Linked DNA regions of Notamacropus eugenii. The protein of the gene in region 2 purifies or fractionates together with the protein of the main gene of each other region. This does not show direct contact. Links are inferred from orthologs where the notes say so. Each region holds a gene or a part of one and is shown on either strand. Other genes may lie near its edges. The genes, in order: ASAP1, CTTN and ACTR2.

The links.
Region 1: the proteins of CTTN (region 2) and ASAP1 purify together in Homo sapiens (affinity purification with western blotting; 6 studies listed by BioGRID and IntAct, with this or other methods). This does not show direct contact. The link is inferred for Notamacropus eugenii from reciprocal best matches to the Homo sapiens genes CTTN and ASAP1.
Region 3: the proteins of CTTN (region 2) and ACTR2 purify together in Homo sapiens (affinity purification with mass spectrometry; 3 studies listed by BioGRID and IntAct, with this or other methods). This does not show direct contact. The link is inferred for Notamacropus eugenii from reciprocal best matches to the Homo sapiens genes CTTN and ACTR2.

Annotation. Positions count from the first base shown.
Region 1 is NC_092875.1:111,872,200-111,879,511, reverse strand, and holds the start of ASAP1 (arf-GAP with SH3 domain, ANK repeat and PH domain-containing protein 1), read right to left. Parts: upstream 3,036-7,312; 5' UTR 2,876-3,035; intron 2,841-2,875; exon of another isoform or gene 2,281-2,840; intron 1-2,280. UniProt on the Homo sapiens protein: Possesses phosphatidylinositol 4,5-bisphosphate-dependent GTPase-activating protein activity for ARF1 (ADP ribosylation factor 1) and ARF5 and a lesser activity towards ARF6.
Region 2 is NC_092873.1:22,595,430-22,602,995, reverse strand, and holds the start of CTTN (src substrate cortactin), read right to left. Parts: upstream 3,044-7,566; 5' UTR 2,946-3,043; intron 2,883-2,945; exon of another isoform or gene 2,794-2,882; intron 1-2,793.
Region 3 is NC_092872.1:639,069,534-639,077,253, reverse strand, and holds the start of ACTR2 (actin-related protein 2), read left to right. Parts: upstream 1-4,624; 5' UTR 4,625-4,980; intron 4,981-5,704; exon of another isoform or gene 5,705-5,727; 5' UTR 5,728-5,744; coding exon 5,745-5,825; intron 5,826-7,720. UniProt on the Homo sapiens protein: ATP-binding component of the Arp2/3 complex, a multiprotein complex that mediates actin polymerization upon stimulation by nucleation-promoting factor (NPF).

The DNA.
Region 1 (7,312 bases), on a different chromosome or scaffold from region 2:
GAGGCAATCCAAATTTTGGATGTAAAAATGTCCTTTTCTCTCCATTCTCACATGCTAAATATGAATAGTCAGTCATTCAGTTATCTCACGGATTGGGGAGGGGAGGAGGGAAGAAGAGATGCTTCTTTTACAAGAAACATGAGGACTGAAAATCAAGACAGCGTCATATGGTACATTATGTTCTGGGACACTGCCATTCTGTGGACTCTGCAGTGTATGTTTTTCACTGAAAGCATTGATAAAATAATTTCCTCTGTAATAATCCACAAAATTTATTTTTCAGATCCATCTGTGGGTTTTATAGGTAGAACACAGAACTTCATCAGGATTTTGTATTGAGTGGTGTTGCCTTTTGGGTTTTCCTTGTTTGTTTGCAAAGAGGCTGTTAAAAAATTGTTAAATAATAAAGACTCAGTATTCCCAACAGTATCAAAAGCTGGAACAGGAACACTTCCCTAAAGCAAAGCTAAATTCATGAAATAGCTCAATATGCTTGGTATATAACAACACTGAGAAAAAACTTTTATGGCTAGCTCCAGAGTTGCAAGATCGCAGGAGGGCACAGAAGATATACTAGGCTAAGATTCAACCAGGAAAGCTGAGTTCTAGTCTCAGCGCTAATACAAGTTATTCAAGTGACCCTGGGGAAATCACTTAATCCTTCTGTGCCTCTGTTTCCTCATCTGCAAAATGAAAGGGTTGGATTCAGCTTCTAAAGCCCCTTCCAACTCTGTAACTATGATCTTCTGAATCACTGTTCCCTTCTGCATCTCAATTTCCTTTACCAAAGAAAAATAGGGAATAGACCAGATGTTCTTAAGGTTTTAGCAACTCTAATATTCTGTTTTTCTGATATCAAACATTCAGGGAAACATCTTCATCTCCAGTTGAATCTATAAAAATGCACTTAGGAAGGCAGCATATTAAACGTTTCCCTGTGAGTTAAGGTTATATGAGACAAGGATTACTTAAAAGACGAATACATTGTACAATAAATATCAAAGTATTCCCCAGCAACACATTACCCCACATTTATCCCCCAAATGAATTTTGCCAAAAATAATCTGGTTGGTTGCAGACCACTCAGGCAACTTCCCACTTAATTATCAAGTGTATGATTATGCCTGAGGCATAAACCAGATTCAGACTGGTCTTCATCTTGTCTTTATCTCTCTAGTGCCCAGGTGGTGCTTTGCATAGTAGGCATTTAATTAATGCTTGTGGAACTGAACTGGATTCTTCTAGAGCAAGGAATCTTCACCCAGTCTGTGAACTTCAAAAAAAATATCGACAATTGTATGTCAACATGAACATTCTGGGAAGGAGTTCTCAGGCTTTCCCAGACTGCAAAAAGGATCCAAGCCCCAAAAAAGGTTAAGAACCCCTGATCCAGAGATCAAACTAGTGACACATAGAATCGAATTTAGGATCTAATCATATGAGCCTATGCTTCAGAACTGAAAGAGGTTTTCAAGAATTTTTTGGGTCAAACTTACAGAGAAGGAAACTAAGGCCCAGAAATGTGAAATGACTTGGCTAAAAGTTACTGAGTTTAAGTACACAGCAAAGCCAGGATTTGAATCTAGCTCTTCAGATAGAAAATGCAATTTCAAAATAAATCTATCACAATGCATTTGAGAGCATTCAACTCATTACCCAGGGAAAACACGCATAATTTACAGAAGAAATCAAGAGCAAGTATTGCCCCAGAAATTTAAGAATAAGCTTCAAACACTAGACTGAGTCTGTTGTTTTTTAAAATCAATATAATAGAACTGAAAATTTAAAGTTTCAATAAATTGCAAGATGGAAAAAACAACCCACTTCCCAAGTCATCCCAAACAACATTCAACAAAATTCAAGTCGGTTTCAACAAGTTACAACCCTGTGTGTTGCTTTTAAATCACCTCTGGGAATCTGCTACAGGGATGGGGGATCTCTGGAGCAGAAAACAAACAATGCACTCCCAGAGTTCTTTCTCCTCAGCTGCTGGGGCAAAGACTGGAAAACATTCCTGTCCAGGCTAATCAGACTATGGAGAGGAAAAAACAGCTGTCAACGAATGTAGAGGTGAAGTCTTTCAGAGTTTTGCTTCTGAAACCTCACACACTTGTGGGAAAACTCCATAGCTGATGAGTTTCTGATTGCTTATTTGGGGGAATACTTGAAAAATATATTAAGATATTCCCTTTCACCAGCTTTTTTCAACGCCTACAATCCTATCTCAGTTGGACTTCCCGCCCTTCCTTACATCTCCCTCCCCCCTACCCTGTAACTCACCAGGACTTGTGCATCTGTATTCCCAGTCCAAGCTTAGGCATCCAAGCTAAATCCATCATTATTCATTCCATGTTGGGCTAAAACTCAGCCTCCCCCCAGCAGCCGCAGCACACCATGTTTCTGCAATACTTCGTGTGAGTATATATGGTGTGTTCTTGGGTCGGATATTAAACTCGATTCCAAAGGACGGTTATCCCGAGAGGTTGGGGTCCTGCGAGTGGAGCTTTATGCCCATTAATGCCCCGCACGATAAGTAAGCACTAAAACTCAGAAGAACTAGCAGGAAGGAAAAATGGACCATGTGAGCAGGGGGAGGGAAAAAGAAAGGAAAAGAGAGGGAGAAAGGAGCGGGGTGGGTGGAAACCCACCACCCAAGCACGCTGCTCAGTGGATAACCCTCGGGTTGATAGCAAGGATTTCAGGAAATCCAGACACTTAAACAGGAAATCTGAATACTGAATAAACATTCCATCATGTCCGCAGATACACGGCACCGCGGGCTGGTCAGTCTCCCTTTAACCCTTCCCCTGCCGGGCAAGCCGGAGTACCGAGTCAATCCCAGCTCCCCCAGCCCCCCGCCCACCCGCCCACCTACCTTTGTAACTCGAGCTCACCAGGAGGGTTCAAAACAGTTCCTGATCTCTCTCCACTGTGAGCCGCTCTGGGAAGCCCCTTTGCAACACACCTCTTTTCTCCCCCCCTCCCCCCTGCCCTTGCCCTTGTCCCAGTCCCTGCCCCAGTCCCTCCTCTCTTCCAGCTTAAACTTTCCTGACAATATTTTTTTCCTCATGCTCCTCCTTTCCCAAGCCCATTGGTGTACATTTTGTGCTCAGAAATGAATTGTTCTCAAGATGCCCATCTACAGCAGCAAGGCATTTAAGAACAGACCTTTCTGCTCCTGGATCCCAGAAGGCATCTGGTATAATATGGGGTTTTTGATTCTTTTTGTTTTAGTTCCTTTTTGTCACAATCGACACTTCTTGGCGCTCTTTTCAACTCTTCTTTCTGCCTTTTAAAAAAATTTGTTGTTATTAATTCTGAGGCTAGTACCAAGGGGGAAGGGAAGGGCATTTCCAAGCCAGGAAAACAGAAAAGTACTTAGAGAGAAAGAGACCCCACACTATGTATGTATGCCATCGATTTGGGCCTCCTAGGAAATTCCATGCACCCTCTCCCTCCACCTCTGCCTTTTGTGTTCTCTTGGATGTTCGACTCTACTTTTTGTGGCATTTCACAAACTGCTTGTTGCCTGGTTAAGTGAAGCTGAGCCTCAAAGCTGGGCTCTTAACCTCTTCTCGTGAAATCTGAAACCAGGGGAGCCTTCAAACACTGAGATTTTTGCTCTAAGCAGAAGACTCAGGGCTCTCAGGATTAAAAATTCTGGAGAAGACCACAGGATTTAGAGTTGGAAGGGACCATAGAGGCTGGTTAGTACAAAGGCTTTCATTTCACAAATGAGGAAACCAAGTCCTTTTGAAGGGGAACTGATCTACCCAAGATCACACACCTAGTTTACTGAGAAAACTGGAACCAGAATCCAGGTCTTCTGTCTTTACATCCCAAACCCTTTTCTGCTGTATAACAGTGCTCTCAAAATGCTTTGGAAAACCTGGCCCAAACTTTTAAAGCTGGTGGTTTGAGTTTTTTAAATTCCTCTTACAACCCATTAAGCACTGAAATTCCAAGAGAATATAAATAGAAATCCAAGTCAAAGGCTGAAATTACTTATGGGCTTAACTAAGGTGCTCTATATAAATCTCCAAATCAGAACAGGAAGGGATTTCAACAGCCAGGGGGAAGTGATTTGCCCAGAGTCACACAAGTACTAAGCCATAGTAACTTGATTAGAATGTAGACTTCTTGCTTCCAAATAGTGTTTTGTACACTATACCATGCTGTGATCTAAACATTCTAATCAGTTTTATAGAATATTTTGCTCAATTTGATAAATTCTGTAAAATAATATGTGCTGGGCCTGAAGTCAGGAAGACTCTTCTTCCTGAGTTCAGATCTGGCCTCAGATACTTACTGTGTGACTCTGGGTAAGTCACTTAACCCTGTTTGCCTCAGTTTCCTCATCTGGAAATTGAGTGGGAGAAGGAAATGGAAAACCACTCTAGTATCTTTGTCAAGAAAACTCCAAAAATGGGGTCATAAAAAGTTACACATGACTGAAACAACTAAACAAAAAAAATTAACTTCAAAAATGTTTATATTTTCTGTGACTTTATATAGATTAAAGTGGTAGGAGAGAATGTAGGACCAAAAACACTGGACTGGGAGTCATGGAGCATGAGTCTGCCACTAATAACTGAATAGCCCTTTAGTGGCTACATGATTTCATCTATTTGGGCATTTTCTCTACAGTTCAGATCCTAACCCTACTAAAGCTTTTCATCCTAGGCAGCTGGATGATACAGTGAATACAGCAGTGGGCTTGGAATCAGGGAGAACTGACTTCAAATCCAGCCTGGGAAACTTACTAGTTATGTGACCCTGGACAAGTCACTTAACCTCTGTTTGCCTCAGTTACCTCAACTATAAAACATGGCTATTAATAGCACCTACCTGACAGGGTTGTTGTGAGGATCACATAAGTTAATTTTTGTAAAATGCCTAGAGCATAGTAGGCACTTCACAAATGCTTATTTCCTTCCTGATCTTATCCATACTTTCTACTAAATTTTCCTCACTTTACCTACTCAATATGGTTGTTCCATTAATACCTCAGGAGCATCCAGTTACTCCTCCTCTATTTATGGCCCTTCCTTTTTGCTACCTGATGGACAGATCACCTATGCTAACCCTCTCACTATACAGCTGAGGCATCTGGGTTCCAGAGAGGTTACATTTTTGAAGTCCTGTTAAATGACAGAGAATGATTAAACTCCAAAGTTCTGGCGCCAGAATCACAATGCACTACCACTCCTACCTAACTTCACAAAGACAAGAAAAATCAGGGCCAGGACTAGAACAGAGGTGTCCTTAACTCTATATCTAGTAACTCTTCCCAGTTCACTGTAAAATACAAAAAGTAACTGTGTGACTTTGGGCAAATGACTTCACTTCCATGGGCTTCAGTTTTTTCACATGTAAAAGGTAGGATTTGGAGTCGATGACTACACAAGGTCCCTTCCAGTAGAGCTGGATTCTATGACTATCGCATTTTTATAACCTTCTTACCTGACATAATCCTACTATGTTCTGAATAAGTAACAAAAGCTCATATTTATTTAGCCTCAGATTGCTTTAGAAACATTTCACACATATAACACCAAGTGCTGCTGTCTCTTGGAAGCCTTTCCTTACCCCCAGCATTGTTAGTCTGTTTCTTCTTTAATTTTACTTTGTTTCTTTGTTTTTATTTTATAGAGCCTTAATATATGTACCTGTTGTTCCCTCCCCTCCCAGCAGAATGCATGATCCTTGAGAACAAGGATTATTTCATGTTTTGTGTGTGCAAACACAGTACAGTGGGCTGACACATAGTAGGTGCTTAATGAATGCTTAGTAGGTAGAATGATTATCTCATTTGATTCACACGATATCCTTCCAACCTTCTAATGGAAGACGCTGGCACAGGACCCCTCAGCATGGCATGCCCACATCAGAGAAGGTGCTGTGCTCTATGAGGAAAGCAGAACTGGGACAGCTCAAAGGAAATGCAGGATGTGCAATTTGGAGTAACCACCCCAAATGTTCACACGGACTATTTGTGCCCAACCTGTGGTAGAGCATTCCAAGTTTGTATTGGTCTGATCAGCCATAGTCGGACATACTGAAACTTGACTCTAGCAGAGTGAAGTCATTTTGGTCCTCTTTGAGAGGGAAGGACAACCACCAACCAATCAACCAAGATCCTTCCAATCCAACATCCTCATTTTAAAGGTAAGGGAACTGAAGCTCAAGAGAGTTAACTTTCTTGAAGTTAGGACTTTTCTACCAAGCCTGGAAGATCGCAACAGTCCTGGAATTCACACCTCAGAAATATGCAAGTACTCTCTGCCCCTGCAACCCCTCCCTTTGGTTGGATGGCTCCTTCCAGAACTTTCATTTAGGGAGGATGCTCAGGCCAGCTCTCTTTATTTCTTCTCCCCAGGCTGCACTGCAGTTTTCTCCATAAAACTCTTTATCAGGATTCCTTCTTTGTGCTGGTCCACAGTGCTTTTCAGTTTCCTTTTATGTATTGTTTTCTTCCATTAGAATGTAAGCTCCCGCAGGCCAAAGAAAGCTTATCATTTTGTTTGTATTTATATCCCCAAGCCTTAGCACTGAGTCTGGAATGTGGTAAGAACTCATAAATGCTGGTTGACCAGTTAATGACTTGCCCAAGGCCAAACAGGTAGTAAATGTTAGAGAGGGAACTGGAACACAGTTTTCTCTAACCTATAGATCTTTCCACTTTCTAGCACTAAGTACAGTGTCTGGCACATAGAAGGGTGCTTAATACATAGCTGTTGATGTATTGTATCACTCTGTCAGGGCGTTGCCTTACAGAGACCTGGGAAATATCTTAGCTTGAAAAGGCCAAGGTTTCCCACTGCATCCTGGGGCATCCCCAATCATCCTGACCTATGTCTTGCCACTGGACTCCAATGACTGGAGAAGAGAGTGGGACTGAAGACTTTGCACAAACCACCCAGCCTCATAGCACATAGTAGCGGCATTATCATACCCATTTTAGTGATGAGGAAACTAAAACCAGAAAAATGAAATGACAAACACAATCACATAGCAAATATCAGGGATGAGCTTCAGATTCTTAAGTCTAATTTCTTTCTACCGTACCACACTGCCACATTTAAAATAATCAAACAAAAGAACTCTAGGTGTCTATGATATTATTTCCTGTCCTTAACGATGTTATTATTTTCTAAAGCTTCTGTACACCCACTATCCTGCAGAAAACAACCTTAAGTTTCCTCCCAAACTCTAAAAGGGTGGATATAATGCTAACATATCTAGTGTGGCAAATATTTCTTTAACAAAACAAAAAACAGTGGAAAGAGGTAAGGTGGGAGAATTTATGTTA
Region 2 (7,566 bases):
AGACAGCAGGGTATGGCAGGAAAGGCAGCAGAAAACCTAGGTCGGGTGGCCCAGAGTCAGGCTTCCTATGCGCCGGGCACTGTAAGAGTGCCCTGCCTCTGCCCTCAAGAAGTCCACATACTAACAGGAGAGAAGATCTGCCAAGATTAGGTACATCACAGCAGACTGGGGGTAATGCTGAGGGAAAGGCAGGACTTGAGCTGAGTCTTAAAGGCAGGACATGCCAGGCATGGGGAACAGCCATGGAAAAGCATGGAGATTGGAAATAGATGGCATGTGTGAGGAAAGGCCAAAAGGTCAGTGGATCTAGACTGCAGAACACAGAGAGAGGAGTAGAATAGAAAAAGAAAAAAGGCAGGAAGGGAGCAGGCTGCCAAGGGCTTTAAATGCCAACTAGCTGAGTGAATATTAGTCTAGAACAGGGGTGGGGAACCTGATGCCTCGAGACCTTCTAGGTCCTCGGGTACAGTCCTTTGACTGAGTCCAGGTTTTACAGAACAAATCCTTTTATGAAGGGGATTTGTTCTGTGAAGTTTATATTCAGTCAAAGGGCCGCACTTGAGGCCCTAGAGGGTCACATTTGGCCTCAAGACTGCAGGTTCCCCACCCCTGGACTCTAGAGACAAGCAAACCCTGGAGTTCATTGTAATGACAAGGGACTGGTTTTGACTTTTTTTTATCCCCACTGGCAGTCATTGGTTTGACTTGATTGAACAGGAGTGTGTGACAAGATCAGAGGAAGTTCCTGAGGGGGAAGAACTGAGGGGAGGAGAGGAGGCAGGGAGACTAGGGAGGAGGCTGCTGTAATAATCCAGGTGAAAGGCCGGGTGGTGGCTGGGGAGGGAAGAGAACACATCAAATGTTCTGCTGTAAAGAGCTTAGGGATGAATGGGGACGAGGAGCCTGCAAAAGCCACTTGGAGCCAAGGCTCCACAGACCGAAAATGACAAACTGGGAGCCTATGGCAATGGAGAAGGGGACTGAAATGGTCAGACCTGAAGTGGAGGAAAAGCACTTTGTTGAGCTGAATCAAATAGATCAGCCTTCCTGCATCTGGCTCAGCCCCCCAAACATCTCCCACAAGCAAACAGGCTCTGCCCAGCTCCTCCAGAGAGGGAGAGTCTCCTCCTTCCTAAAGGAACTTGTCCAGGCAGTAGGCATTTTCTAAGTGCTTACCGTGTGCCAAACTGGGCTAAACTAGAAATACAGACGGGCAAAACCAGTGCCAGTCTTAGCCCATCCTAACGTTCCAGGAGTGAAGAGGAGACATACAGAATGTGTCTACATGTCTACCTATATCTATATAGGTATCCTTCCATCCATCCACCCATCCATCCATCCATCCATCCATCCATCCATCCATCCATCCATCCATCTACCTACCTACCTACTACCTATCTGCATTTACCTCCCTATATCTGGGATAATTTCAGAGGATAAGCACTAGCTTTAAGGCAGAGAGAGAAAAGCACACTGGATAGTTCTCTGATATCTACATTTACCTCTTAGCAATTCCAAACTAACTTAAAGAAAAAAAGTCTTAATCCCTTCCTTCCTTCCTTCCTGATACTTGCAGACAAACATCCAGTCCCCAAGAATCTGCTTTTTTCCCTTCAATCAGTTCTCAGACAACAGGAATTCCAAGACCCATTATCATTCTCCCAGCTATCAAAACCAGTCCAGCATGTGCAAAAAGGGTGGAAATTCCTTTATTTGGAAAATCTTTTAAATCAATGGTTTGGTAAAAATTGACATATCACAACCTTCCCCTCCCCCCATCCAAGTCCAGGCCAAGAGAGCCTACCCTGCCCTCCCAATCGCACATAGAGCAGGGATCGTCTCCCCAGCTTCTGCTGGGATACAAGTAGCTCCTCCTAGAAATACTTGGATTCTCCAGCAAACATCTAACCAGCTTGGAGAGAAATGTGATGTGCTCGATGGCAGTACACGAGGCACTGACTCATGGAGACTGGGAGGGAGTGAAAAGGCAGAAACTCCAAACCCAAATGCCTGGGTTGGATCTGACGTACTATTCACAGAGGGTTCGCTCTTTGCCAGGTCCCGGAAGAGTGGGCTGATCACCCAAGTGTTCTGGCTCTGCCCCAGCTGACCTGGGCGGTGGGTTCGGTCAGGTAGGAGATAGTAGTAGTCCTAGGCAGACCCTCCCCCCTTCCGCTAAAAAGCCATTTTCTTGGGTGCCAAGAATCCTTTGGCCCTGGTCCTAGGAGCTCCCAATCCAACCAGACGATAAAATCCCACAGGTCCAAGCCCACCTACCTTCACGGAGGAACTTTTCCCTAGAGAATTCTAAGCTCGTGGTGCACGGACGCGGGCCACAAAGCCTCCGCTGCCCAACCTACCCATCCACCCCTCCCCCAGAAAGGGGAATCCCGCAGACAGAAGCCCTCGGGCTGGAGGGGGAGGGGTCGCTGCATTTTCCAGTGACCAGACTGCCGGACATACCACAAGAGACTGGGAGGCAGCGGCCCGAGGGTTAGGGAAGGCGCCACACCCATTTATCTACACCGCCCGAGTAGGAGCGGTCCGGCCCGGCCCGCAACCGAGGCCTGAGTCCCACGGACAAGGACTCGCACACACATTCATCAAACCCAGTTCCTACCTGGCCCTCCCTGCTCTCGTCCCCTACTGTACCCCGTGTGTGGGTGGGGGAGCAGGAGGGCAGCCCCCTTCCCTGACCACAACCCCTACCTACACCCCAGATCGCGGTGGGGGCTCAGTTCGAACCCGACCACATCCACATTCACGCTCAGCAGCGTCCCCTCCCCCCTCTACCTCGGCCAAAAAGCCGCAGACGACAAACCGCAGCAGCCCAGACGCTGCCACTTCTTAGCGAAACCGCAGCCGGGTCGGCCTCCCCGGCAGCCCCTTGCCCCGTGTGGCGCCGCGCCCGGTCCGTGGAGAATCTCCCGCCTCCGCGCGCTCACCTCGGTCTGTGCGTCCGCGCTCGCCAGCGACCACCGATGCCCTGCCCTCCTCTTCCCTCCCCGCCGCTCCGGTCCGGCCGCGGTTTCCGCTCGCGACACTTCCTGTGTCGTCAGCACCGGGATGGGCCCGGGATGCGGAGCCCGCAGGAGCCACCTGAGGAACGGAGCCAGTCCTCCCAGCCCGGCCCGGCCTGCACCCTGCGCCCCGCGTCTCCCTCGGGTCTGCTCTTTCTTTCTGCTCATCACCCCCCAGCTTGGAGCCTAGGGGACTGCCCAGCGTTCCTATCCATTCATTCATCCTTCCCTTCTCCCTTTTCTTCCCTTCTTCCTTTCTTTCATTTCTCATCCCACCCCACGCCTGGACCCTCGGGCTCCCAGGGCATTCTGGAATTCACATTCGGGCTTCCTTCGGAAGCCGGGACCTCTCCCAGCAGATACTTTGTATCCCTTCGGGACTAGCTTGTTTCGAGGGTCGGAAGCCCGGCCCTCTCCCAGCAGATACTTTGTATTCCTTAAAGTTGGCGCCGCCTCTGACTCACCTTGGGCCATTTCCTTCCCCTCTCTGGGTCCAGGAGCCAGAGCTGGGAGGACACCCAAATCTGGTTCCACCTGTCTCCTGAATAGTTCAAGAGAGAAAATGAAAAGCTGAAAAGGACCTCATCAGTCAGCCACTCCCCCAATATCACAGAGGAAGAAACTGAGGGCCAGAGAAGCTAAATGATCCATCCAAGGCCACAAAGGACTTTGTGGAATCCCCAGTGCACTCAGATGTCCTCGAAGTGGATGTGATGAGGTTCAGGGGTGATCGGGAACCCCAAAATACCCGACGGTCCGGGTCGTGCTCGAATGAATTCGACTCAAGCCTTCTTAAAGCCAAAGAAAACAGTTTATTAAGGATTCGCCTAATTGGGTTGCCTCTTAAGGAGCCTAAGCTTTTGTAACGCTTGTATTCACAAGCGGGCCAGACACAATCCCAGCTAGACAGAGTCTGAGCTGGATTGCATCTGAGCGCCTTCATGGAGGCAGGATGAAACTTAAATACAGAAAAGAGTATAGGAGGGATCTGGGGGGGGGGGGGGGGGGGGGCCTCTGGTAGTCCAGGGTGATGGGAGGAGGGGTTTAGGAAGGGTCTTGAGGAGAGTCAACAAATATCAGACTTGGGGGCGCCTAAGTGGGAAGCAGGTAGGGCAATCAAGGGATAACAGACAATGATCACTGATCTGTGTATGAAAGGCCAGATTCTGTGAGGAGATACAGGAAGGGATCAATTTGAGTATGAAAGGTCAGAGTCTGTGAGGAGATACAGGAGAGCTCAATTTGAGTATGAAAAGCCAGGTTCAGTGAGGAAATTCCAGGGGAGCTCAAGGAAGTTCCCAGAGTCTGAACCTCATCAGATGGAGTGCCCGGCCTGGAGTTAACCCTAAAATCATCTCCCTGAATTCAAATCTGAGCTCAGACACTTACCAGCTGAGTGACTCCGGGCAAGTCACTTCACCCTGTTTGCCTCAGTTTTCTCTTTTGTAAAAATGAGCTGGAGAAGGAAATGGTAAACAGCTCTAGTCTGTTTACCAATAAAGTCCCAAATGGGGTCACCAAGAGTTGGACAAGCCTGAACAAGGATAGCTACGGCGGAAAGGCCCAGATCTGATTTTCTGTAAGCTTTTGAAAATGTTCTTAGACCAACACAATGCCTAGGTTGGGGTCAGATAAGTTTTCCCAGAAAGGGCCTGTGACCTCTACTCTCTTTGATCCTCAACAATCCCCAGAAGGAAGATGCTATATTTTCTGCATTTCACAGATTAGAAAACTGCGAAAAGCAACTCAGGTTCAACAAATATTTGCTTGAAAAATATCTCCGTAGCAAACAACAGCCAGGCCTGTTCCCACATCTTGGCTAAATCAAAAGCCCTTTGCATTACACCCTACTGTTCCAGAATGTCAGGGCTGAAACTAAAGAGTGGAGAGTCAAGGGAGTTTGGGGGGTGGGGGTGAAGGGGGAATTTTTTCTCTGGAAACAAGAAGGGCTGCATCTAAAAGGGAATTACTATACTAGGTATGTACCCCAAAGGGAAAAGGGACCACATGTACAAAAGTATTTCTAGCAGTTCTTTTACTGGTGGTGAAGATTTGGAAATTGAGGGGATGTCATCCAGTTGGAAAATAGCTGAACAAGTTGTAGCTAAGGATTGTGATGGATTGCTACTGTGCTATAAAAAACAAAAAAACAAAAAAAAAAAACTATGAGGAAAGTTTCAGAAAAACTTGGAAAGACACAGATGAATGGATACAAAGTGAAAGGTGCAGAACCAGAAGAACAAGGTACACAGTAAATAATAGTGTATGATGATCAACTGAATCACTTAGCTCTTCTCAACAATACAACAATCCAGGGCAATTCCAAAGGATTCATGATGAAAGATGCTAGCCACCTCCAGAGAAAGAACTAATGGAATCTGAATGCAGAATGAAGCATACTTTTTTAAGAAAAACTTTTATTTTGTCCATTTTCCTTCACAACATGAATAATATGGAAACGTTCTGAATGGCTGCACACGTATACCAAATCAACTGCCATCTCAGAAAAGGAATGGGAAGGACAGAACTTGGAACCCAAAATTAAAAAAAAACAAACAAAATGCTAAAATTTGCTTTTACACACAATTGGGGGATTTTTTATGTGATAAAGGGGGGAAATAAGGGGAGTTACTGATTCTGAAAGTAAAAAAAAAAATGCCAACTCCAATAAGTCTGTAAAATCCCCCAGGCAGGGTAGTACAAACCAGGGACTGGAGATGGGGCAGTCAAATAATGTTGTCTGTCATTCACTTGTTCAGTTGTGTCTGACTTCATGACCCCATTTGCGGTTTTCTTGGCAAAAATGTTGGAATGGTTTGCCATTTCCTTCTCCATTTTACAGATGAGGAAACTGAGACAAACAGGTTAAGTGCCCAGAGCCACACAACTAGTTAAGGGTCTGAGGCCAGGCATTCTATCCACTGTGCTACCTAGATGCCTACCATCTCTCACCTGGTATACATCCTTGGAGGGCCTAGAGCTGTTTAATGACACTTATCTTCCAGGAGTCATTATAATTTAATGACACAACACAATCCCACATGACACTTTCACATAAGTGAGTTCATTTGATCCTCACAACCAGATAGCCAGTGCCAAGCATCATTCCCATTTCACAGATGAGCAAACAGGCCAGTAGGTTAACTGATTTGCTTAAAGCTGAATAGCTAGTAGTAAATGATTGAACTACAGAAGCCTCCATTGGCTCAAATGAATGAGCACAGCTGGCAGCTTCCTCCTAATAGGGCTGGTCATCACAGCTGCTCATGGGTACAATGTTCTTATAGAAGCCTGTGCAGTCACTGACTGTTCATCCCCTCCTGCAGAATCCAGCTATTGGGTGCCACCTGCCATAAACTCAGCTTTTAATGTTGACCTGGAAGTCTTGTGTTAAGCAAGAAGTGTCCTGGCAGAAAAGTAATTGAGTAAAATCTCACCCTACATTCCCCCCAAAATTGGGGTGGGGGGAGAGAAGTGTGGTACAGGGAGAAAGAGAACCAATGTTCAAACTCTATTTCTGAGGCTGACTCGGAATTGGGAATCGAGGGGGTGTCCATCCAGTGTGGTGTATGAATGCAAAGGAATACTGTCGTGCTATAAGAAATGAGCAGGGCGACTTCAGGAAAACCTGGAAAAACTTATATGGACTGATGCTGAGGGAAGTGAGCAGGACCAGGAGAACACTGTACACAGTAAGAGCCACACTAGGTGATGACTGACCTTGACATTTAGCCCTTCTCAGCAAAGCAAGGATCTAAGACAACTGCAAAAAACTCAGGGCGAACAATGCATCCACACCCAGAGGAAGAACTTCGGAGCCTGAAGGCAGATGGAAGCAGACTATTTGCCCTCCTCTCCCTTTGTTGTTGTAGTACTTCTTCCTTCTCCTAGCTTCTCTCATTCATTCTAAGTCTTCTTTACAACATGACTAATGTGAAAATGTTTAATATGAATGCATAAGTACAGCCTCTATCAGATTGCATGCCCTCTTGGAGAAGACAGAGGAGAGAGTGGGGGAGAAAATTCAAAACTCAAAATCTTATGGAAGTGAATGTTAAAAACTAAATATAAAAATTTTTTTTAAAAAATGGAACTTACTTGGATGCACAAGGGAAAAAGAAAACCCAAGACATTATTTAAAAGCCATCTAGTCACTTGAACTGCCTCAACTGATTGAAGAGTGGGTAAGAATTGGGTGATTTTCATGAAGTGTAAAAAAAAGAAAAAGAGGGGGGTAGGAAGCAGGTAATTCATTAGGAAAACTCTGAAGGGGAAAGAGCCTGCAACCCCTGTGTACATGTTGTCACACTGATGAATAATCACCCTATGATCTCCTGTTCGTGCTGGGCTTTCCTCAGCTTTTTTACTAAGCAAAAAACCACAGAGTTGCAGTGAATGAAGAGGAAAGCATACTGCCCTGTGGCAGCATTTAGCCTCACTTACAATAATAGTGGCGTTTATAGAGTGCTTACCATGTGCCAGGCGCTGGGTAAGGGCTTTCCAAATATTGTCTCATTTGAACCCCACAACAACCTTGGGAGGGGTG
Region 3 (7,720 bases), on a different chromosome or scaffold from region 2:
CGGCCGGAAGCGGGGCAGAGAGCGTGGGCGGGAGTAGGCAACCATAGAGAGAGAGGGAGAGAAGACCCAATGGGCAGGACAAGGCGCGGGGCGGAGCCTCTGCCTCCTCCAGCCTCTCATTGGACAGCGGCGCTGCCACTCCTCGCTTGGACGCTTTCTCGAAGTCCTCCATCCGACTTCTCTCCCTCCCCCCTCAAGGAGCTGTCAGTTAGACGGCAGGCGGGGCGGGGCAAACCACTTCCGGTTGGGGCCAGAAAGTTGAGCTGAAGGAGGGGCAGAAAGAAGGAGGAGGAGGAAGAGGAAGAGGAAGAGAGCGAGCGAGCGAGCGATCCTGGGCGGTGGCAGCGGCGGCGGCGGCGGCTGTGGTAGCTTCCCCAGCGGCAGGAGCGGCGGCGGCGGCGGCGGCTAGCCCAGCTGAAGAGGGAGAGAGGCGGGCAGGCGGCGTTGGTTCTCTCCGGGGCTCACCATGGACAGCCAGGGCAGGAAGGTGGTGGTGTGTGACAACGGCACCGGGGTAAGCGCCGAGCCCGGGGGAGGCCTGTGGGGACCGGAGCCGAAGAGGGCCCGCCGGGGGAAGAGGAAGGTGTGTGGGCAGGCGGGCTGGGCGCGGCGCCGTGCGGGCCCCCGGGGGTGGGGGGCCTGCGCCCTCCCGCCCCCGCCGCCCCCGCCGCCCCTCTTCCTGTCAGCCCCCCACCCCCACGCCGCGCCTCTCATCCCCGCGGACGGGGGATGGGGGGATAGTCTCCTGCTCGCCCCCTCCCTGAGTGCCTTGGAGGAGCTGCCGAGGACAACGGGGGTGGCTGATGAAAGATAGACCCGCTCCATCTCGAGCAGCTTGTGGTTTTATAAAACAAGAGTGGTCGGGCCTTCCTCTTCCTGTAAACTCGAAGGTAGAGCCTCGGAGGCAGGAAGCGAGGGGCTAAAAAAGGAAGCAGGGCTGGCAGCCTCCGTCTGCAAGCCGCGTCTCGGAGGGGCTCCCGGGAGGGGGTCTGGGGGAGGCGCCCACCGTGGACGTCCAGTCGGAGGAGCCTGGGCGGGCGAGCCCCGGGGGCCGAGGGCTGCCCAGGTGTGGTGGTGACCTTGGGAGAAGTTACCAAGCCCCTCCCGTTCCTCTTTTTCTCCTACTGCGAGTTCCCCATGGGTATGATCTTAAATGAGATCCCCGAACGCCGGGAGTTGTAAAAACGGTTGGTTATTCCCCCTCCCTTTCTTCCCCCAGGCTCCTTTTGGGAGAGGGGAAGAAAGGTCTGCCTTTTTTTAAAATTTTTTATCAGAAAGCAAAATCAGAACAAATCTCAAGATTGAAACATGATTTCTTTGGAATGTGTTCTCCAGGAATGATTTTATGTTACATTTGTTTTTATGTTACGTTTTTATGGTACATTTGTTCTCAACTCTTCTTGAGGTTGCCACAGCATACCGATGTACAGATGCTTTTTTAGTGATCCTGCCTACACTTCTCTCTCCCAGCAGGGTCTAGTATGTGAATTAAAATTAAAAATAATTATTTTGGTAAACTCTTCTAGAATTATACTGTGGAAAACATAATGAACTTGAAATAAACATAAGTAAACCTTTTGTAAATTAAGAAATTGAAGCCCAGAGCAGTTGTGACTTGCACAAGGTAACACCTCATGTTAGTGGCATCACTGTGACTAGAACCCAGCTTGGTAATTTATTACTTACTGTACTACACAGGTTTGCCTCTTATAATGGTGTGGGCTGTTGGAAAAAAAAAATGGTTGGGAATCCCTGTTGCTTTGATGCCATAGCCTTTTAAAGGGATTATTAAATATAAAATGTACTGGAAAAAATACACTGATTTCTTAGGACACTTTCATTTTGATTTTTGTCAAAGGAGAAGATTGAAATATAGGATTATCTCTGATTTATTTCCACTATACTCACAGTAATGTTCAGAAAGCAATTTTGTGCATGTATTTAGAGATCTATATAGGGTTAGTGATAGTAGATGAGAGTTCATTCGCTTAGAGAACTTCTAAATGAGGAAATTCCCTCTGCAGACAATGCAAATTGACACCTTCTCTGTAACTGTGTGTGTGTGTATATATATTGTTAGTGTCTGCAAATATGAATACATTAATTAGTTTAAAATGAAGAAAGAACCAGCATTAGTAATGAAGTAATATTGATAGCATCATAATACATTCATGGATACTTTGGCATTTCTATAAGCTTTTGATATAGACATATATATATATACAGTCTAGTAAATCAATCACACCCTGTCTTTTATGTTGATTTTATTCTAGAACAACATTTCATATGCATTTAAATATTTGCAAGGCCATAGTATGCATGTAGCATTTTCATTTGTTCTTTGTTCGTTCAAAGTTTTTTTAGCGATGGTTTATGCCAAAGTTTGGTGATTTTTTACTACTTATTGGCCAGGCCTTTTGCCTTCAGATTCTTCTGTTTGCAAATAATAATGTGCTGAGTTTTACCAAGGCCCAGAAGATCACAGAGCCTTTTAAATCATTTAGTTCAGTTTTAACTATTCACATAGAGAAACCTAAAGAATGCCTCCATCCCAGACTGCTATGCAGTTTGATAGGCAACCTGTAGCTTCTATTTGTTGAACAATAACAAATTGTTCAACAATTTTTTGAAGCAAAGAAAATAAGCAACAGAGCAAGAATCCACGTTAACCTGTATGAGTTGACTGGACACTTAAAAGATGCTTTAAAAAAAAGTTAAGTGATCGTTTAATACAGTTATGAGCTGTGCTGAAAATAAAACAAGAAGAATAATGGGCTAGACTGTGTTTGTTAAATAGCACAATTATTTTAGTGACAGTTCCCCTCCAAGCTTCTTCCTATAACAAAAGCTCTTATTTTTTTTTTAACACCAGTAGTCTTATTGTGATGTTACATAGTCACATATAATCATACTCTGTGGTTTATGGAATTAGATGGAGGATAAACCAAAAGGTACATGGTAGGCAGGGGTAGCATACAGTATGTTCCAAACCAGAAATGGCTCAGGAAAGGCCTTGTGATAAAGATGTAATCAGAAATACATGATCAGGAAAACCAAAAAAGGTAAGCCAGTCAAGAACAAAGAGTAATGGATAGCCTGCACTTCCTTGATATCCACTGATGCCTGGAAAATGAGAAGTAGGTCCCCAAATCATTAGATAGACCCTTTGTGGCCAATTTATGGGAGAAAATGAGAGTGCATGGATGATTTCTAGTGTTCATCATTAGGAGGGATGAAATCCTAACTCCATTGAAATATAAAATTATCAGAATATTGGTCAGGCTTAAAAATGCCCAAGCATTTCACAGTTACAAGGCAGGATGAAGGTGCAGTATTTACTTCTTCATTTCTAATATTTCCACTCCGTATAACATTCAGGGTAAGGCAAAGAGAAAGGAAGCTAATACTTCTCAGTTAGGCTTCTGGTGGCGTTTGAAGGGCCCGTAGTAAAGAAGTCCTGAGTTCAGATGTGGTCTCAGACACTAACTGTACCATCCTGAGCAAGTCATTTAATATCTGTTAGCCTCAGTTTCTTCAGCTATAAAGTGGGTATTAAAAACAGCACCTTCCTTGCAGGGATGTTGTGAGGCTCAAATGAGATAATGTTAATAAAACACTTAGCACAGTGCCTAGCATGTAGGAGGAGCACATATCAATGCTTATTCCTCTCCCTCTTCTCCAAAATGTCCTAGCCCTTAAACTCCTCCAGTATTTGGCATAACTGCTCTCTAAAGTGGCATCACAAGGATTGGCAGTGAATCTGTACCCTAAAGTAACTCCAATCTGGAGATCAGGAAGGCTTTACACAAAGCTGAGAGGGATAGTTAGTACATTTTGATTGCATCCAAAAAGATCTCAACAGGTTAGTACACTGGGAAGAATCTAATTAGATAAAATCTGGTAGAGGCAAAGTCTTAGATTTGAGTTCTTTAGAAACCTACTTCCAAAGCACAGGATGGGAGAGGGAAAGTTAGCAGGGTTTTTTTTGTTAGTTTTTGAAAAAATAATCTGGGGAATTTAGTGGAATGCAAACTCAGTATGAGGCAGGAGAGTGATGTAGCTGCTCAAAATACTTAATATACTTTGGGACTGGATTAAAGTTTTAAAATTTATTTTGAACTTAAATACAAAATAATAGAAGAAAAAAATTGCCATATACATAGCAGAACACGAGAGGATTCAATATAAAGCAATGAATTCCCATTTCAAGAAAAACAATATAAGTACAACACATTTTCAAAGCCGTCCATCTTTTCTTTGCTTTTGTATAGATTTTCTTTTATCCTCTGCTGTGCACTTTTTACTTTATTTTTCCCTTTCCCCTCCCCAAGAAGGCTGCAATTAAGTGCAGATATATTTTTTATATATAACATAAATATACATACACATATATATACATATACATAAACATACATATATACACATATACATTCAAATGTGTGTATGTAAGACCGTATTATACGTGTTTCCATTTGTCATCTTTTTCTCTGAAGATGGATAGCATCTTCCTTCATAAGTCCAAGTCTCTATATTTTTCCAGATCCACCAGCTCATCATTCCCTACATCACAAAAATATTATGACTCAATCATATTCTATCTGAGAGATTGTGAGAGTTTTTCCCTCAATTTTCTGCATTCACTCTATTCTTGGCTACATAGGTTTTGAGTCTCTTTCAATTGAGGATTGGTTGGTGGATTTGGGAATGGATAGCTTGACGCAGAGAACACTTGGAAGGGAGAGAATAGTTGTCTCTCCAAGTATTTGAAGGGCCTTCTTGTGGAAGAGAAACAGAACTTGTTTGTTTGGCCCTAGGGTGCAGAACTAAAGCAGTGTTTGAAAATTGCAAAGAGACAAATTGAGATTTGATGTTTGGAAAATTTTCCTAAGAATTAGAACTGAACAAAAAATTGAATGGGCTGCCTTAAGAGAATCATTGGAGGTCTTCAAATAGAGGCTGGATCACCACTTTTCTTTTCAAGTATGTTATAGTGGGGTTGGACCATATGACCACCAAAATCACTTCCAGCTTTAATACTATGTGATTCATTCAAGAATCAATCCTTACGTAGCAGGGACAACTTGGTGGTGCTGTAGATAAGAAGCCAGTCCGTAAGACTCATTTTCTTGAGTTCAGATCTGGCCTTAGACACTTACTGTGGGCAAAGCTCTTAACCCTGCTTGCCTCAGTTTTCTCATCTATAAAATGAGTTGGAGAAAGAAATAGCAAACTATTCCAGTATCTTTGCCAAGAAAACCTCCAAAAATTGAATTTATGAAGTCAGTCAGACACAACTGAAACGACTCAACAACAATGTAGTTGAACCCTGAACTTTGCTGGCTACCGGTTACCACCCTATGAATTTTAGTAGTTTATAGAAGTTCTGCACTAGTGTATGAATTTTCTGTTATTTAACTGTGGGTAGGATTTTTTAGGGACTCTGCTGATTTTATGGAGATACTGAGGTTGTTTGAAATAAAACCATCATCTGGTTAAGAAAGAATAACTTTGAGGTGAAAGTCAATAACTCTTCAGTCTTTAGTTTTCTGGGACAAATAGGATTGCAGGATGGTGTTCTAATAATTATCTGATTAAAATAATGAAAAAGGACTAGTTTCTGATAAAATCAGTGGAAGAAAAAAGACAAGTAAAAGCAAGGTTTAAATTTGCTCATAAAATGTTTTTTCAAGCTAATGTAGCTAATACTCTTTAATTTTTGCCTGAAAGACTGTGACAGACTGTGAATGTTCTTACCATTTGATGACTCAGTGGGAAGTAAGAGAGTCAGTTTCAACCACAATGCTATGAAGAGGAAACTATATATGGTAAAACTTATTTCTTAAACACAGCCTTCTTGCACACACCAGGGGAAATTAGTAGCTAAGTTTTTAAATGATGAGAGGTTGTAAGCGTATGCCATGTCACATTTTGCCTTTTAAGGATTAAAGTGACAAAATATGGTTTGAACAAGGCTTATTTCCTTCATTTTACAAATTAATAATTGTGGTTTCTACATATTTTCTGAAAATTGTGATTTTGGTGCAGGAAGAATAAATGTTTTTTTTTCTTTTGAAATTCCTTAATATATATTTCTTTTAAAAAACTCATTTAATTTTAATACATAATAATGTACTTTAATACATAGTAATACATAATATATAATACATGAATATATATTATACATATATTATGTATAATACATGTATTATGTATAATACATAAATAAATGTACCTTAATTTTGTTTTTATAAATGAAATGAATATGTTCATGTTTTTAAAATGTTAAATTTACAGTATACTCAAGTGCACACATAGACGAACATGAAAACTACCATGTATATTTGGGAGCTGACATGTACGTTAAAGTTAGCATATGTACTTGTGAGCTTAAACTCATATGCAAGAGCTAACACAAGTCATTATGTACAGTACATTAATTTTGCCACTTGTATTTAGCGGTAAACAGACTTAATCAGCTCTTGTGAATACCAAAATCAAATTTTCTAAAATCCCCTTTCTTACATCAGAAAAAATTATCCTGTCAGATTCTTTATGGTTTCATGTAGGGGAGCTGTTCCTTGCTTCTGGGAGTGGGGAGGCAGGGAGAAGGTGGTGGTGGCTACCTATTTATCAGTTCCCTTTTAAGAGTCTTTTGCTCTAATACCTCCTAAGAGTTTGTAGATGATTTTAGGCTCTCAGTTCAGTTCAATAAACATTTATTAAGCAACTTTGTTACCTGGCTGAGTGCTAAGCCGTGGAGATACAAATAAGAAAAAGAAAGTCTCTTCCCTTGAGGAGCTCACAATTTAAGAGGGGAGAAAGAGGAGAAGACCACACTCAAAAGGAAACTGGAAAGCAAGGGGGAGTGGTATATGGAAGTCCAGGAGCCTGATATTATATGGAGTGGAAGGGGACAGCTGATGGAAAGAGAATTACCTGGGCTATATTTTTATGGTAGAGATTTTTTTTTAAACTATGTACCTGTTAAAATAGTTTTGAAGTAGTTTTAAAATTTAAAGTGAAAGATGTGTGCTATAGTATAGTTTATCGAATGATTTTGAGCATCCCAAAGAAACCTGTGTAGAAATGTTAGTCATTGTTTGATAAATACATTTGCTACATAATAATTTAACACTTAAGTGTTCATTATTTTGCATTTGAGTGTTATATTATAACAGTTTTTTCTTTGAACAGGTAGAAATTCAGATAACTTCAGAAATACAATCTAAATTGTTTCCACTTTCAGTACTGTCTCTTATCTTTAAACTTGGAAACTTTGAAAATGTCTTTTGCAGCTTTCCAAGTAGTTAAGTTTTTTTTTCAAGTTTGCAATCTTTTTATTGCATTAAATATTGTGCTTTTTTTATTAATAATTTCTTTTCAGTTTTCAACAGTCATTTTTATAAGTTTTAAATTTTTCTTCCTCTCCCTCCCTCTTCCCTTCACGCAATTGTAGGTGGATTCTACACATACATTCTTATTAAACACATTTTCACATTGGTCATGATGCATAGAAGAATTAAAATGAATGGGAGAAACCATGAGAAAAAGCAAGAAAACCCATAATGAAATAGAAAATATTCTGCTTCATTCTGCATTGCAACTCTATAGTTCTTTCTCTGGATGTGGATGGCATTTTGCATCAAGAGTCCTTTGGAAATGTTTCAGGTCCTTACATTGCTAAATCTATTATAAACACTCGTACACTGTGGCTCTTACT